2 linked regions of the Drosophila melanogaster genome follow. The gene in region 2 interacts genetically with the main gene of each other region. Each region holds a gene or a part of one and is shown on either strand. Other genes may lie near its edges.

Evidence for each region.
Region 1: of qua (region 2) and spoon, changing one suppresses a phenotype caused by changing the other (phenotypic suppression), as found in Drosophila melanogaster (one study listed by BioGRID).

Annotation. Positions count from the first base shown.
Region 1 is NC_004354.4:5,416,794-5,422,820, reverse strand, and holds the start of spoon (spoonbill), read left to right. Parts: upstream 1-2,484; 5' UTR 2,485-2,582; coding exon 2,583-2,627; intron 2,628-3,724; exon of another isoform or gene 3,725-4,504; intron 4,505-5,446; coding exon 5,447-6,027. Other genes in the region: Usp16-45 (ubiquitin specific protease 16/45), read right to left, coding at 1-199.
Region 2 is NT_033779.5:17,485,993-17,494,988, reverse strand, and holds qua (quail), read left to right. Parts: upstream 1-2,673; 5' UTR 2,674-3,157; coding exon 3,158-3,187; intron 3,188-5,086; coding exon 5,087-5,296; intron 5,297-5,355; coding exon 5,356-5,558; intron 5,559-5,607; coding exon 5,608-6,532; intron 6,533-6,588; coding exon 6,589-7,587; intron 7,588-7,651; coding exon 7,652-7,849; intron 7,850-7,914; coding exon 7,915-8,028; 3' UTR 8,029-8,183; downstream 8,184-8,996. Other genes in the region: CG43220 (uncharacterized protein), read right to left, coding at 8,210-8,259, 8,335-8,392; CG43645 (uncharacterized protein), read right to left, coding at 8,649-8,692, 8,770-8,836; CG43221 (uncharacterized protein), read right to left, coding at 8,984-8,996. UniProt on the Drosophila melanogaster protein: Required for the formation of cytoplasmic actin filament bundles in nurse cells, possibly by regulating both the polymerization and organization of actin filaments.

The sequences.
Region 1 (6,027 bases), on a different chromosome or scaffold from region 2:
GTAGACCCGTGGACTTCAGTAGACGCCTTAGTCGGGCCGCGTCCACCGCCTTCTTGATGTGCTGGCAGCTGGCGGTGGTGGGGGTGGCGCCATCCGACTGACCGGGCGAGCCGAGTCCTTTTCGATGATGCAGATCCTCATTGCCGGAATCCGTTGAGCAATCGTGGTCGCGACTGTCCGCCTGACGCTTCTTTACCATGGCAAGGTAGCTGCTTGGCCTTGGCCTCCTTGTGGGCGCGCTCTGGAAGGAATATGTAGCGTTCCAATCACAGATTCAAATCTTCGAATTGCTTCGAATGCAATCGTTATAGTCACAACCCTGCTGCTGCTCTTCCGATTCGGCTATCGATGTGTATAACTGGCAACGGGATTGAATTCGATTGGAACTCGCACCGACAGACTGACCCTATTGGCTTTGTTTGCTTTGTTGTCTTTCGTCACGTTTGGAACTGTGACCCAGGATTTGAGGTTAAGTTCGTCGCCCCGCTGCCAGCCAGCGAAATTGAGTGCCCCCGCTGTTTGACCACCCAAACATACATACATATATGTATTACCCTTTTTGCGATGATTTCTCGAAAATCCAAAGGACCCCGAACTCATACACGCACCCAACCAATCAAGCCCATACGCACGCACACATAGACACGAACTGTGATTACCCCCACACACATGCACAACAGGATCTGAGTAGTACCTTGAATTTACTCGCTGCGATATGCGTTGCACGTAAGCACACAACATATATGTTTTACAGCACTTTTATGCACTTTTTTTTATTCGTATATGCGTAAATAGAAAACGTGAACGACGTGACCAAGTGTGACCGTTGCTTATTTGGGTCGCAACTCCCGCGTGTGGTCAATTTCAAATTTTTAGGCTGTTGCTTCACCTCTCTGTTCGATGGCTTCCTCTTCTTCTGACCGCAATGGTATTCAAGTTTGGAACAACAACAATGTGCAAGTTCAAAGTCAGAAAATGACAAATAACCGAAAGGCACACAAAAAACAATCCTAAACATGTTTGCTTGCATGCCGAGACACGCACATACATCAATATTCATGTATAAACAAGCTTACAGTGTAGGAAATATAAAAAATTACAAAACTAGAACTGTGATTACCCACACACATGCACAACAAGATCTGCCTACTACCTTAAATTTACTCGCTGCGATATGTGTAGCACATGAGCACACAACATATATGTTTTATAGCACTTTTAGGCGCTTTTTATTCGTTTATGCGTAAATAGAAAACGTGAACGACGTGACCAAGTGTGACCGTTGCTTATTTTCGTCGCAAATCTCGCGTGTGGTCAATTTGAACCGTTGTCAGAAACTATAGGGTCTCGAAACATGTGCAAATAATTCATTTATATCATTCAACTTATGCTGCAAATAATTGCTATTATTATTATTTTAATTAATTATCCACACTGCTTATGTTCTTCGCTCAAACAGGAGGTAATTAAATCATTGAAGGGATTTCAAAAATCTATGTATGCATTCACTACTAACTAGCTTGGTCTTTTTTTTATTTTGCGCCGCTTTATAAATTTAAAAAAATATCATTTGGAATTACACACATCACTGTGTTAAATTAAAAAGAAGATTTTTAGTGATTGTTTTCTTTGAGATATTGAAGTCGCTATCTGCTCCTATATAAATATTATTTCGAAATTATCGATTTATAGTGCGCTATACTGACAAAAAATAGGCTGAAATTCGCATGAACAAGCATATTGTGGTAAGACAAAATGAAATCAGAACTTCCCAAGAACTACGTTGGAAAATTACAAATGCCCAAAAGTATTGCTCCACAAAATATCGTAACGAAATATCGCGAAATTTGCAACACTTTTGTGCACATTCGGTGGCAACGCCGCCTAAGAAAATACCTATTGCCCCAATCGATACCTATCGATGAGCGTGGGCAGCCCTGTTTGTGCATGTGCTGCCATTCGATTTGATAACCAGCACTCCGTGCACACGTTTTTCGGCTTTCTAGAAATAATTGGGCTGCGATTCAAACTGTGAAGTGATTTTTTCTATATTTTTTTTTTGTGTGCACAAAGGCTCTTGTAATTCGAGGATTTGGCCATCGCGAGTGCGGGTGATTAAGCAGGCAGCTCCGATTGCCAGAGTTTTGCGGATGCATGGCAACACTGCCGCACGCCGGCCATGTTATTGTGATTTGTAAAAGGTGGAACGTAGACACGTGTTTAATTCGTGCAGCACTTTAGCGTTGAGAAAACGACAGTAAATCGCCAGCAAATAAGCAAAAACAATACACAACTCGCGTGTGCAGTAGATAGCTTTGAAAGCACCCAAAGATAGTGAGCAAAATAAGTTACCCAAGCGGTTCACAAAGGTAAGAAATCGCAGCACGCGGAACATAACCTAGTACAAAAAAAGTGCGTGTGTGTGTTTGCCAAAACAGAGAGATGTGACGGAAAATGGTGTCATGTTCTGTTCTGTGTGGATTTGTTCCAATGTCCGTGTCTTGAGCTCTATTCGCACCTCTTTCCCGGTACCATAGCCAACGTTTTAACTACCTTTTTTTTGTCAACTTTTTGTTAAGTGTATGACTCTGCCTTGCCGCTGTTGTTGTTGTTCCGGCAAAGTGACAGTAAGTGGTTATGGAAAAAATTTGGAGTTCAATTCGGCGATTACACAATGACAGCACTCACACACACACACACCCACAATCGCACGCATACACATGCCGAGCATAAGTGCGTCTGTGTGTGTTACAGCTTTCACCGTTAATGTTCGGTTTTTTTACGCCTGAAAGAGAACAAAGGCGAAAAGGAGCTGCCACTCCCACAAAGAAAACATTGCGTCTATGCATACATACATATGTATACACATATAAAGTAGTATATCCCCCGATTATACAATCCCCGCCCATTTTTGGCCACCATATGATCGGAAACCACGTTGCCAAGATTATAACAATGTGGACTTTTTCGGCTAGCTGGCAATGTTGTTGCACCTGATTTGTTGTTGTTTTGGTGCTCTCTTCTGGCTTGCCTCTCTGTGTCGCTCATTCTCGCTTGTTCGGGGGAATTTCAAATTTTTAGGCTGTTGCTTCACCTCCCCGTTCGACGGCTTCCTCTTCTTTTGGCCGCACTGGTATTCGAGTTTGGAGCAACAACAATGTGCAAGTTCAAAGTCAGAAAATAACAAATAACCGAAAGGCACACAAAAAACATGCCTAAACATGTTTGTTTGCATGCCGAGACACGCAGACACATCAATATTCATGTATAAACAAGCTTACAGTGTAGGAAATACAAAAAAAAAATAACAAAAACTAGAAGACCATTGCGAAGTTGTTGTGCCCTTATCTTACATTTTGTCGTTTTAATTCAAGAGTTGATACGAATACGTGTAAAACTACACTTCTCCCTGCTCTTATGCATATCCATTTATTAAGAATTTTAGGCAAAATGTGGCAAGCTTTGTCAACAAGTTTTAATACTCTAAGCAAAGGGTATAAAACGTAATCTGAAAAATTCCCGTCACCCGGTTTCGACGATTAGGAAATGCCACAGCTGTCTGGCCAGTTGCCCTTCCATGGCCATTTTATAGCACCCCACTAGGCCCCTTATCCCCCACCCCCTGCATGCTCCCATCAACCGTTGATCTGTCGCTATATGTACATTTATACATATACATATGCATATACATATACATATGTACATACATACAATGTATGTTTGTGTTTCAGTTGCTTGTCGATTGAGCTTATCATCTGACCACTGTGTAACAGGAGGACCTTTGGGCCCTAACAAAGTGACGATATTGTGGATGGGGGGAAGCGGGAGTATAGTGGGTAAATCGGTTCTATAGTGAGTAACTTAAAAGTACTAAAGATCTCATGGCTTTAAACTACTGTTCGGCATGACTTGCACTTTTCGGGCCCCGGAAATTTTGACCAAATTCGAAGGAGCGTCTTACAATCCATTTGAATGGATTTTGATTAACGGTTTTCGGATTTCTTTGTTCTAATGAGCTCGCCACTCTCTTTTCTTCTCTCCGGCTTTCTGTCTCGTTTCCGCTTGGTGGGATGAGTGTGTGTGTGGGTGGAAAGGGGCGCTAAATAAAAACTTGCCACCACGCATCCTCTCTTTTTTCGCGGGTTGGTGGGGGTATGCCGATGCGGAAGAGCGGATGGAGTGAAGAGCGGAGAATCGGTGCCGAAATAAAAAAAATAATACAAATAAAAAGCCAGAGGAATTGGCAATTAGAAGGCGTGCAAAGTAGTTTCCCTTCATATATCGAGCAGTCGATATCTCGAATCTCTCGAACAATTTCGCCGGCATATCGAAACCCAACAAAAAAAGAAAGAAAATAAACAAAAGCATAGAAGAAACTCCAAAAAATAAGCCGAAGCGAATTGATGCCATAAAACGACATAAAATACAAACGAAACCGGAAGAAGCAACGAATTCAGTTTTATCCTAGTGGTAATACAAAAACACACATTTATTTTGTGAATAGGTGATGAATTTCTGGCAAAGCTGTTGTTTTCGTAACTTTTAGTTTTGTTTTGTAATGATTTCGTAACATTTGCCATTGCCATACGTAAACGTAACGGTTTCTTCTTGCGCCTCTCTTCCGTTCTTCGCCGACGCTCTTTTGCGTTCTTGCGCACGCGCTCTTTGCATGCGATCTATCGCTCCATCTCTCTCGCTCTCTCCCGTTGCGTTTTTCCCTTCCGCGTGGCATTCAAAAATCGCTTTGCACCTTTTTCGTCGTTCTCTCTCGTTGTCTCTCTCTCTCTCGGCATTTGTGTTGTTGTCTATATTTACGTATTTATTTGTTGCTATTAATACGCAAAAGTTCAGAAAGGAAAAAACCAAAATCAAACACACTGGCAAACACACACACACACACGCACACTTATGCAGACGAGCACATGCAGGCGGGTCTCGTGACTTGCAAAACCAATTCGAAACCTTTAAATAGGTTTTTTCAAATATAACAACATGCATATGTCGTTATTTAAAAAACAACGTTCATGTGGATGGTGTTGACAAATTAGCCCTTTAATCTCACACTTTTCTTCAAAATTGATTTCATATTTGAAATTCTCGCTTAAATTTAAACGCAAATTCAAAGCTCTTTACTTTGTTTTCAAAGTTATTCTACACAAAATTGCATATTGTGTACCGTTTCTTATCTTGAGCCATGACAAGCTTTTTAAAGTAATTATATACGACGCTACTTGATTTGTAAATTGTTGCCCTGATAAGAGGTGTTCACACATTATTTCCAATTGTAAATTAAACAACAAACCATAACTTTTCCAAATATTGCACAAACAAAAGCTACTTCATTTTTATTTCAGTATTAGTGTGATCAAAATAATCCTATTTGTGTGACAGTACACAAGTATATTTTCAAATCGCACAGACTAATATAACTTCTTCTCCCTTTCAGATCTTTCAATATTCAGCGAAAATGGTATCCGGTCGTCCTCTACTCTACCTCTCACTGCCCGGTGTAGCATTTATACTCGGCGTCTTTTGGTTTCGGCGTAGATATAAAAATTGTTTAGACAAGCCCGACGACGAGGACTCATCGGCCATCAATGACTCGTCGATTGAACCAACTGTGCAGGCGCGCAAGGCCAACGGAGTCCTGCAGAATGGCAAGCTGCCACAGCAGTCGGCCAGCAAGTCGATGAACATCAACGGAACTTTAGTTAACGGTAGCGGAAGCGGTAGCGGAAGTAGCAGTGATGAGAAGGACAGCCCCACTACCATGTTGTATGGTAAATCAGCACCAATCAAAATCCAGAGCAATGGACGCACTTCAAATGGCAAGCATCAGCAGCAGATCGATTCCGAAATACTGAAGTCAAAGATACAGGATGCCGAACACAAGACACTCTGCTCCATAGACGAGGATTTCGAGAATCTATCGTCGCCACGTGATTTACCCGATTCGGTAAATACACGCGTATCCTTCTACAATCGTAAGGCTACCCAAAAGACGGTGGAACCGGTGGTGATTAAGGC
Region 2 (8,996 bases):
CCTGTTATTGTTATTGATATTCGGATTTTGCCATCCGATCTGCCGACGTGTTTGGCCTCATAAAAGGCTACAGGTGGCAAGAAGTCCAATTAAAAAGAGCGTTGTTGCAACGATCTTCTTTTCCTGGAAATATAAATCCTTAACATAGCTTTACTTTAATTAGGTATTTCTTTGCTAAACATCTTGATTTACTTGTCTATCGCGCAACGTAAGCTAATTTGGCCTAAAAATAATTTTAAAAATATATGTATATTCTATTTATCTTGTTTGAAATCTGTAATTATAAAGAAATTATAAAGAAATATGGTTAATATAAGTTATTTCCTTTAAGCTTAACTATAAGTATCTATTAAAATACAGAAAATAAATGCTGTAACTTGTATAGATACAACTTTTAATTGTTCAGTTGCTAGCCATCCCGTTATGTGTGAGTTATGTTAAGTTATACGTTTTTTATGTCTTTATCAAGTGTCGGGTATATATTTAAAATGTCATGTAAAAATCGTTTTTCGTCAGTGATATATGGCATAATATTTCCAACCCACCTCCACTTAACAATACATCGATCATGCCTCAAACTGCCAGTGGAGATTCCCCCCATTGAGAGGAGTCTGTCTGGGACCTGAATCTAGACCAGAATCTGGATCTGGAGCGGCTGGCAATTAATGTGGTCTGCTTTTAGCCCGAAGATCGAGTGGCCACTGACAGCAGCATGCTTGCCATTCCTTGGCCATCTTCAGAATTGGCTAATGAAAAGGCTGGAAAAGAGCAAAGATCCATTGGCACAATCACCGCTAGAGGAAAACATTGGAAAACAATGAGAGAAAAAATAAAAAAAAAATAAGATTCAAAAGCGGTACTTTGCCGGCTGGCCGTTTCCCGTTGGCAGTTGCGGAAAATGAAAATGCCACAAGTCGATGTTGCATTATTGTGGCGCTTTTCAGACGCTTTTCCAGACTTTACGTAAATGTCGCGTGTGGCCACAAAATGGTCTTAATGTGTTTCTCGCAACAATGAGAGAGGCAAACAACAATCAAATGGTTTGCTGCCTTTTTTTCGGCTTAAAAGGAAAAGTCAATTGGCCTGGTCGTTCGTCTTGTTGCGGGTTGACGTGTGTAATTATCATAAATCGTAAATTGCAATTTTTCATCATGCTAAAAGTCGCACATTTTCAGCTGTATACAAAAAAAAATGCTTTGCATTTACAATTTACATTTTCATATACAATTGCTTTCATTTTTTAGTTATGTTTCTCGCCATTTCCCCAGTTCACGCCTCAACCTCAACGGTTGATTGAACTTGTCAGAGTTTTGAGTTGGCCAGAGTTGGGGAAAAAACATCATGGAAACATGAAACATGGCTAGCAAAGAGAGTTGTGTTTTTTGGTTGGTTTTGAAAGGCATCGCATTGTCTTGCCAAGATGCGGATACGTGGATATGTGGATACGCAGATACGAAGATACAAAGCTACAAAGATACACAGATACACGGTTCTCTGGGCCAGACCCATTAGTGTCATTCACGCTTTGGAACACACTGGAAAACCATTTCGACTCATTACCGAGTCATACACAAGACATTTTCGACTTAATTGAGTCGAAACTCGGCTCTGAATTGCTAAACAAATCGCTGCCAAATTGTTCCCCCGAAATAATTTAACCACATTTCTCCGGCGCAGTTGGTACACCCCATCCTCGATCCCCAAAATCGCCCTCCAGTCGTGTTAATTATGGCCATCAAATGACCGTCTGCCAATCTCCAAACATAAATCATAAAAGTGAGGACTCAAGCCAGTCGAGCGCGTCAGCTCGGTTGACAAAAGCCGTAGGAAACCCGAGAGATGCAAATCGATGGAATGTACAACACCGATGTGGACATAAGTACTTCCCCGCCAGCCGAGCTCCACTGTTTGTGCTTGATTGCCTGCGGAGAATGTCGGTGCAGCAGAAAGTGTGGAGTCAGTTTCTGGATACAAAACGATGAAGTGGAGTTCACCTGGTAGAAGAATCAATGCTCTATTAATGGAGCATCGAATGTTACTAGTTCTAAAAAGGTTTTTTACGCATTTAATGCATACTTACATATTCCTTAACGAACTTTAATGCTATAGTTCACATATTTTTGAATAAAGTTCAAGCTTTATGCAAAAATGCAAACATAAATGAATGAACTAGCAATTTCACTTATGATTTTTCAACACATTTCTGAAACCCTTTGATATCAAACTCCTGCCATTAGCTGATGGAGCCAGCAAAACTCGCTCACACAAGCAATTGTTAATCCGCAGAGAGCTAATAGAAGGAATTAGCAAACACCCCGTAAGAATTTGTTTAGACCCCGTTTGCCAGCCTGTTCCCCTTAGCCTTTAGCCCAGAACTCAGAGCTCAGAGTTTCGTTGGCCCAAGACCAAGAGCATGAGCCAGGCCAAGTTAAGGAAACGGCCAAGAAACCGCAACAAAGTGCGCTGCGCTTTCTGCTTTTCTCAGCCAGTTCGGTTGGAAACTGAAAGGTTGTGGAGAGGAAAACCGACAATCTAACTGATAATTTTCATTCATTTCTGAGTCACACAGTCAGTCGCTGGTGGTGCTTCCCACTTGCTCATTTGGCTCGAAGCTGTTGTACAGCGATACACCAAAGCTGGCCTGGCCATAAACTTGGAGCGCGGCATTTCGAGGCGGCCAGTCTGCAGTTGGCTTTCTGCTGGCAAAGACGCTTCGCAAGAGACTCGGGAAAATCTGCTGTGGAAAAAAAAGAACGCGAATCGCGAGTGTCTGTTAAAACGAAAACGAATCGAATTGAATCGAATCCAGGCTAGCATTTGGCTTAACTTTCAGTTTCGCCTCTATTTTGGCTACGTTTTTTGGGATATCAACACCCCCATTCAAAATTTTTTTCGAATTTTATGTATCGTGATTTTTTGAGCGAACCGATCGCTCTCAAAACGCTGCTGCGTGTGTGTTTTTGAAGTGAGTGTGCGGCAGCGACATTCGCTTTTCAAAAGCGCTGGCAAAACGAAAACTCGCAAGGATTTCACTTTGAGCTGCGCTGCTGCCGGCTTCCATCGGAATTGCCATCGGTTTTGTGGGGAGGGGGAGACAAATCAAAACTAGTTCAAGGCAGCTGTGCTGTATCTTTCAGATACAGATACATCCGCGCACATGGAGCTATCGCTGTCACCAAAAGAAACGGTAACTACAGGCTTTTCATTATGCATATTTCGCGTCTCGAATCTCTCCCATCAGCTCTCCTATATTTACCAGTATCTTGGCCAGCCTATACAAGTTTATTTAGCAAGTTTCAGCTGTTAATTACGAGCTGGCAATTATTTGTTTATCAATTACAATCAATTTTAGCGCCTGACGATGGTGTTTGCCCAGGTCTTGTAAGAGATTTGTTGACACCATTATTAGGGGGGAAATTAATAAAGATTTTCGCAAGGAAATTGACAGTCTTTTATTTGATTAAATCAATTGGGCAAATCACTTGCGGCAAATTTAAAATTAATGTATAATTCCTTGTAATACTCAATACTTCTTCCTTAAGTAAAAAAAAAAGGGTTCGATTTCCAAATGAACTTCTAAATTTTCATACCTTGTGCAGTAAAAGTAAGTGTGGTCCAAATTCTTCAAATGTTTAAAACCATCGATGGCCAGCAATTAAACTTTTGAGCATCATCCATCAAGTTAATAGCCTTACCGCAAGGAAAGTAAAAATTTAACACAATAGCTGTCTTAAGATAGATGGGTATCTGAAATTATTTTTAACATTCTATTCAGAACATTTCGGCGATCAGCTTTCGCTTAGATTAATGCTGATAATTGGCGGCTGTGAAAGTCTCTGCTGAAAACAAAGTTTAAAAAAAAATGTTATAATTTGCTAAGCGCTTGACAGAGAAAATTGACTTTTTGTGAGAGAGCATGACAAATGTAGTTTAGCTGTCGGCAGCGAAGATCAATCAATCATGATGGAGCCAGAGAGCTGGAAAACCTGGTTAACCCAAGCGCCCAGTTAAAGTAATCCGAGTTATTTCACCATTCGCGCAGGCGACAATTAAAATGCTTTTATGTTATGTGGTGTGTGCAGCGCATTTTATGCATTGCTTATTTATGAGCAGACCCAGTAAAAGGCAGTCATTAACTATTGTGATTTCCATGAAATGTCATTTGGTGGGAGTAGCAAACGCTGCCAGGCGAAGCATGAACTCGTCTTTGGTCACTGAGCACGCCACCATGTAATCACAAATGAAACGCGGCACACCAGACTCCGATGTCAAAACATTAATTAGCCAAAGAGGCAGCCTGCCTATTGACCCCAAACCGCTAGCCGAGATCACGATTGAAATGAAGATGAAGATGAAGATGCAGTGCGTCTGTGCCTATTGTATGCGTATATGCAACCACTTTCCACTTTGCTGCGTTCCATAAATAAATAAAAACCTAATGTTCGACGGCGGCCAACAAAAACTGGCTGCACCACCAACGTGATGTGGTTGGATGTGGTTCACGGCCCGCCCCTGTTCACTTTTGGTTTTCACTATCACTTGCGCCTCCTCCAATCGGATGCAGAGCACTTCTGCAGACGGGTTCGGGTTTGGGGTTTCTGGTTTTCATTTTTCTTTTGCTAGTTTTGAGCAATTTCTTTATCCTTGGCGTTGTGTCTCAAGTGTCTCATGACAGCAACAATTGGCGATCGTTTGAAAGGTGTTCAATGTCGTGGCAAGTGCTGTTCATGCAACCTGATTGTGACATTGTCACCAACTTGCAGTGAAAACGGGAGCACTGAATGGTAATTGCACATGAAATTTCGTTTAATAAACCTGACTTATTCGATTGGTTCGAGTTGCGTGCCTTTAAGTTGAAGTGCATAATCTCAGGAAAATCGAGAAAAGTAGCCAAGAAAAGGAGTGTCTTTTTCCCATGTAATTTTGAACTCTATTTTCGGACTAAATTAGTAAATTAAATCATCATACGACTGTGTTCCCTTCATAACATATTAAATAGAATACGTAACATCATAATATACCATTAAATAGCATTAAATTCAATTGAACGATCTAAAAATCTTATTTACATATTTACATATTTAAGGAGATCCGTCCCAACACCATTCCGGACTTAAAGGTGGATGCCACATTTCGGAAGGTGGCTAAACATGCGATTACCTTTGCGATTTGGAAGATAGACGAGGATCGCCTGGAGGCGGTACAAAGATCACATTATGGCACCTTCTACGATAGCTGCGCCTACATTATCTATGCAGCAAGTTTGTCGGGGCATTATGCCAATCACGAAACCATCGTAAGTAGTTGGTTTGGCTTGTGTTTCAGCAAGGTTTTAACTAATGCTCATGTTTACAGACACGCGAACAGAAGCCGAATGTGAGTCTTGAGCGATATATCCACTACTGGCTGGGCAAGAATGTTAGCGAGCAGAATCGATCCAATGTTGTTCATAAAATCCAGGAGCTGGACTCGTATCTGGGAAACATATCCTCTATTTACCGAGAGACCCAGAATCTGGAGAGTGCGAGATTCCTTTCGTATTTCAAGAAGGGTTACGAGTGAGTTAAAGTTCTCTGTTCTCTCTCGCTGGGAAGGGAAATAATACAGATTTCGTTTCAGTGTTCGATCGGGAGCACTAATAAGCGCGCCCCAGAGGCCACGACTTTTTCAATTGTACGCCCGCAAATGGTTGCGATCCATTGAGGTGGCCACCATCGATTGGTCGCACTTTAACTCGGATTACGTAATGGTCCTGCAAACGGATAATCTTACCTACGTCTGGATAGGGCGCTCCAGTTCAGGAATTGAACGACGAAGTGCCCTCGACTGGGTCCAAAAGCACTGCAGTGGATCGCCAATCACTATAGTCGATGATGGATATGAGCAGGCCATGTCCCAGGAGCACAAGGAGCTGTGGAACACCATGCTTCCGCTAAAGAAACGCATGGTCTGTCAGGCCAGTCAGTTGGTCAGCGAATACGCCGACTACAATAGCAATAAGTTCCGCATCTATAAGTGCAATCAACGGGGAAGGCTGCACCTGGATCAATTGGATGTGGGCATGCCAGCAAAAGATGATCTAAGCGATGCCCATGGAGTCTATTTACTGGACAACTACGGCCAGAGTATTTGGTTGTGGGTAGGAGGCCAGGCACCGCAGGCAGATGCCCTTTCTGCCATGGGAAATGGGAGAGCTTTTGTTAAAAAGAAGAAATATCCGGATAATACGTTGGTGGTGCGTGTCCTCGAGGGTCACGAGCCCGTGGAGTTTAAGCGTCTCTTTGCCAACTGGTTAAATGTTTGGCAGGAGAACACCAGGGGACATAAGCCAGTGTCCACAAAGTTTGGAAAGCTAGATGCCCATTCCCTATGCGAACGCCCTAAAATGGCTGCAGATACACAGCTCGTTGATGATGGCAGGGGTGAAAGAGTAATCTATCGTGTCTTCGGAGATCAGGTGCAAGAGGTGCCCATCTCAAAAACGGTTGTGTTCACCACCAATGCCAGTTTCGTGGTCAAGTACAGCGTGCAGGTAAGATAATAAGCTTAAGTTCTGTGTACAATCCAATAAATTCACTTCATCTTCAGTGCGCCACCGTTGTTCCCGCAGATTTGGCCTCCGTTGGCATTAAAACAATCATCTACCAGTGGAATGGTTCGGAGGCCTCTGTAGAGTCCATTTCCCGGGCGGACAAGTTCGCCAAGGCCAGTTTTGATGGGCTCAAGGAGCCTGGAATGTTTGTACAGCTCTATGAGTTCGATGAACCACCGCACTTCCTTCAGATCTTCGAGGGAAAACTTATTATCAGGCGCGGTCAGCGTACCGAGATGCCTTACAATGGTAACTCCAATGCCTTGCTGGACACCTTTCTGCTGAAAGTTTATGGCGATGCTAGCTACAATGCCAAGGCTGTGGAGGAGACACATCTGTCATCGATCAGCTCCAAAGATTGCTATGTGATCAAAACGAATCATGTTTGGGTGTGGTGCGGGCAAAGTAGCACGGGAGATGCCCGCGAGATGGCCAAAGCAGTGGGAGCTCTGATGGGGGAAAACTCTCTGGTCCTCGAAGGCAAGGAAAGTAAGGAGTTCTGGCAATCGGTGGCCATGTACTTCAACCAAACTCTAGTGATCAACGGAAATGGGAACTCATGTTCCAGCAGCACCAGTAGCAGCAGTGGCGCCGGCAGCATGTGCAATGGTAGCTCCAATGGTGGTAACATTTCACCCACTCTCAGCAATAATTGTTACCTAAACACCAGTGTTCCGAGTAAACCGAGACCTCCTGTACAACTATTTCTGGTATGGTGGCAACAGAGTTCGCTGAGATACGAGGAGATTCTCGGATTCGATCAGCAGGATCTCAGTTCGGATTGCACCTATATTCTGGACACTGGGAGCCTCACCTACGTCTGGCTGGGATCGCAGGCCCCAAACCAGGAACGCTACACAGCGATTGCCCAAAGTTATGTCCAAAATGCTCCATTCGGACGCAGATCAGCGACAGCGTTGGCCGTGGTCAGGCAGTTTCAGGAGCCAAATGTTTTCAAGGGATTCTTCGAGTCCTGGCAAAACGATTACGGCAAGGTAATCCATAACAAAAGGGCTCCAAGATTTCAAATGTTAACCAACTTATTTTGTATAACTTTAGAACTTCCATTCCTACGAGAAAATGCGCAAGGATCTGGGAAATAAAGTGACCAGCAATTGTTGCTTCGCAAGCGAAGGATCGGCTCTAATCCTGAACAACAGACAGAAGGACTTTGATGGTCACAAAAAGTATCCATTAACCGTGCTCATCCAGGAAATGGATATGCTGCCACCAGATATTAATCCGCTCAAGAGGGAGGTGGGTTCAACTAAACATAGAATGCGAATATCTCCTTTTTTTAAAACGCTGTTTTCCAACCGCAGGTTCACCTAACACACGATGATTTTGTGTCAGTGTTTAATATGTCCTTTTATGAATTTGACGAGCTGCCGAAATGGAAGAAAATGGAGCTGAAAAAGCAATTCAAGCTTTTTTAGATTATAAACATGTTGAAATGCGTGTAACGAGTGCGCACTGTACATATCCTCAATTGCAACACAATGAATACTATGAAGAGGTAGTAACTGTTGAAGCAATTTATGTTAAACATACACATTTTACGTAGATATAATAAAGCAAAAACATGAAATATAAATATATTAACTTATATGTAGGCCATCAAGTGGTTTCGACCTCCTCGGAGTCTGGCTCATCCCCACTACCAGAACCTGGTGGCAAAAATAGGTAAATAATAGGTAAATACATGGCCATTGAAGTTAATATTGAGTCACTACGAAACTTACTAGGAAACAAGAGCCCGAAAAGAAACTCGAAAATTCCACCAAGCAGATCCCAAAACATTTTCGATCCGGTGTTGTCAGCGTTTTGTAACGAAGTACAATGACATTACCGCTCGAGATCGGTTTTGACCCAGACCCCTTTAATGAGCCATGACCAAAAACGCTCAACCAATTCGGACTTAATTCGAATCAGAAATGATTGCATGATCTGGGTCAGAAATGGGACAAATATACGAGTACACATTTGTGTATTGAAAAGCTTTTAAAGGTAAATGCTCATATCAAATTTTTTATTTGCTCACGATCGCTGGTCTATTTCAATTGTAGTTGTCGTAATAATCGCCCAAGTACTCCGCATCAGCTTTACAAACAAAAAATGAAAATAAAATAGTAATATGATTAAAAAGCCCTGTTTTGATAGCATTACAAATTCATTACTTATGTCTGAGAAGAAAAGGTCGTTGAGGAAGCTCAAAAATATTTCCGGCAGCTCACAACAGTCCATATTGTTGGTTGTACTTTGGTAGTTTCACAATTTTCGTTTTGTATTTATAGCATTATTTCAAAGGTTAATTATACTTTGTATGGTTTATTTGGATTAATCCATTTGATAACTTCTATTAGGTTCGCGGATTATTAAAATAATAATAATCTAGGTGCTCGAC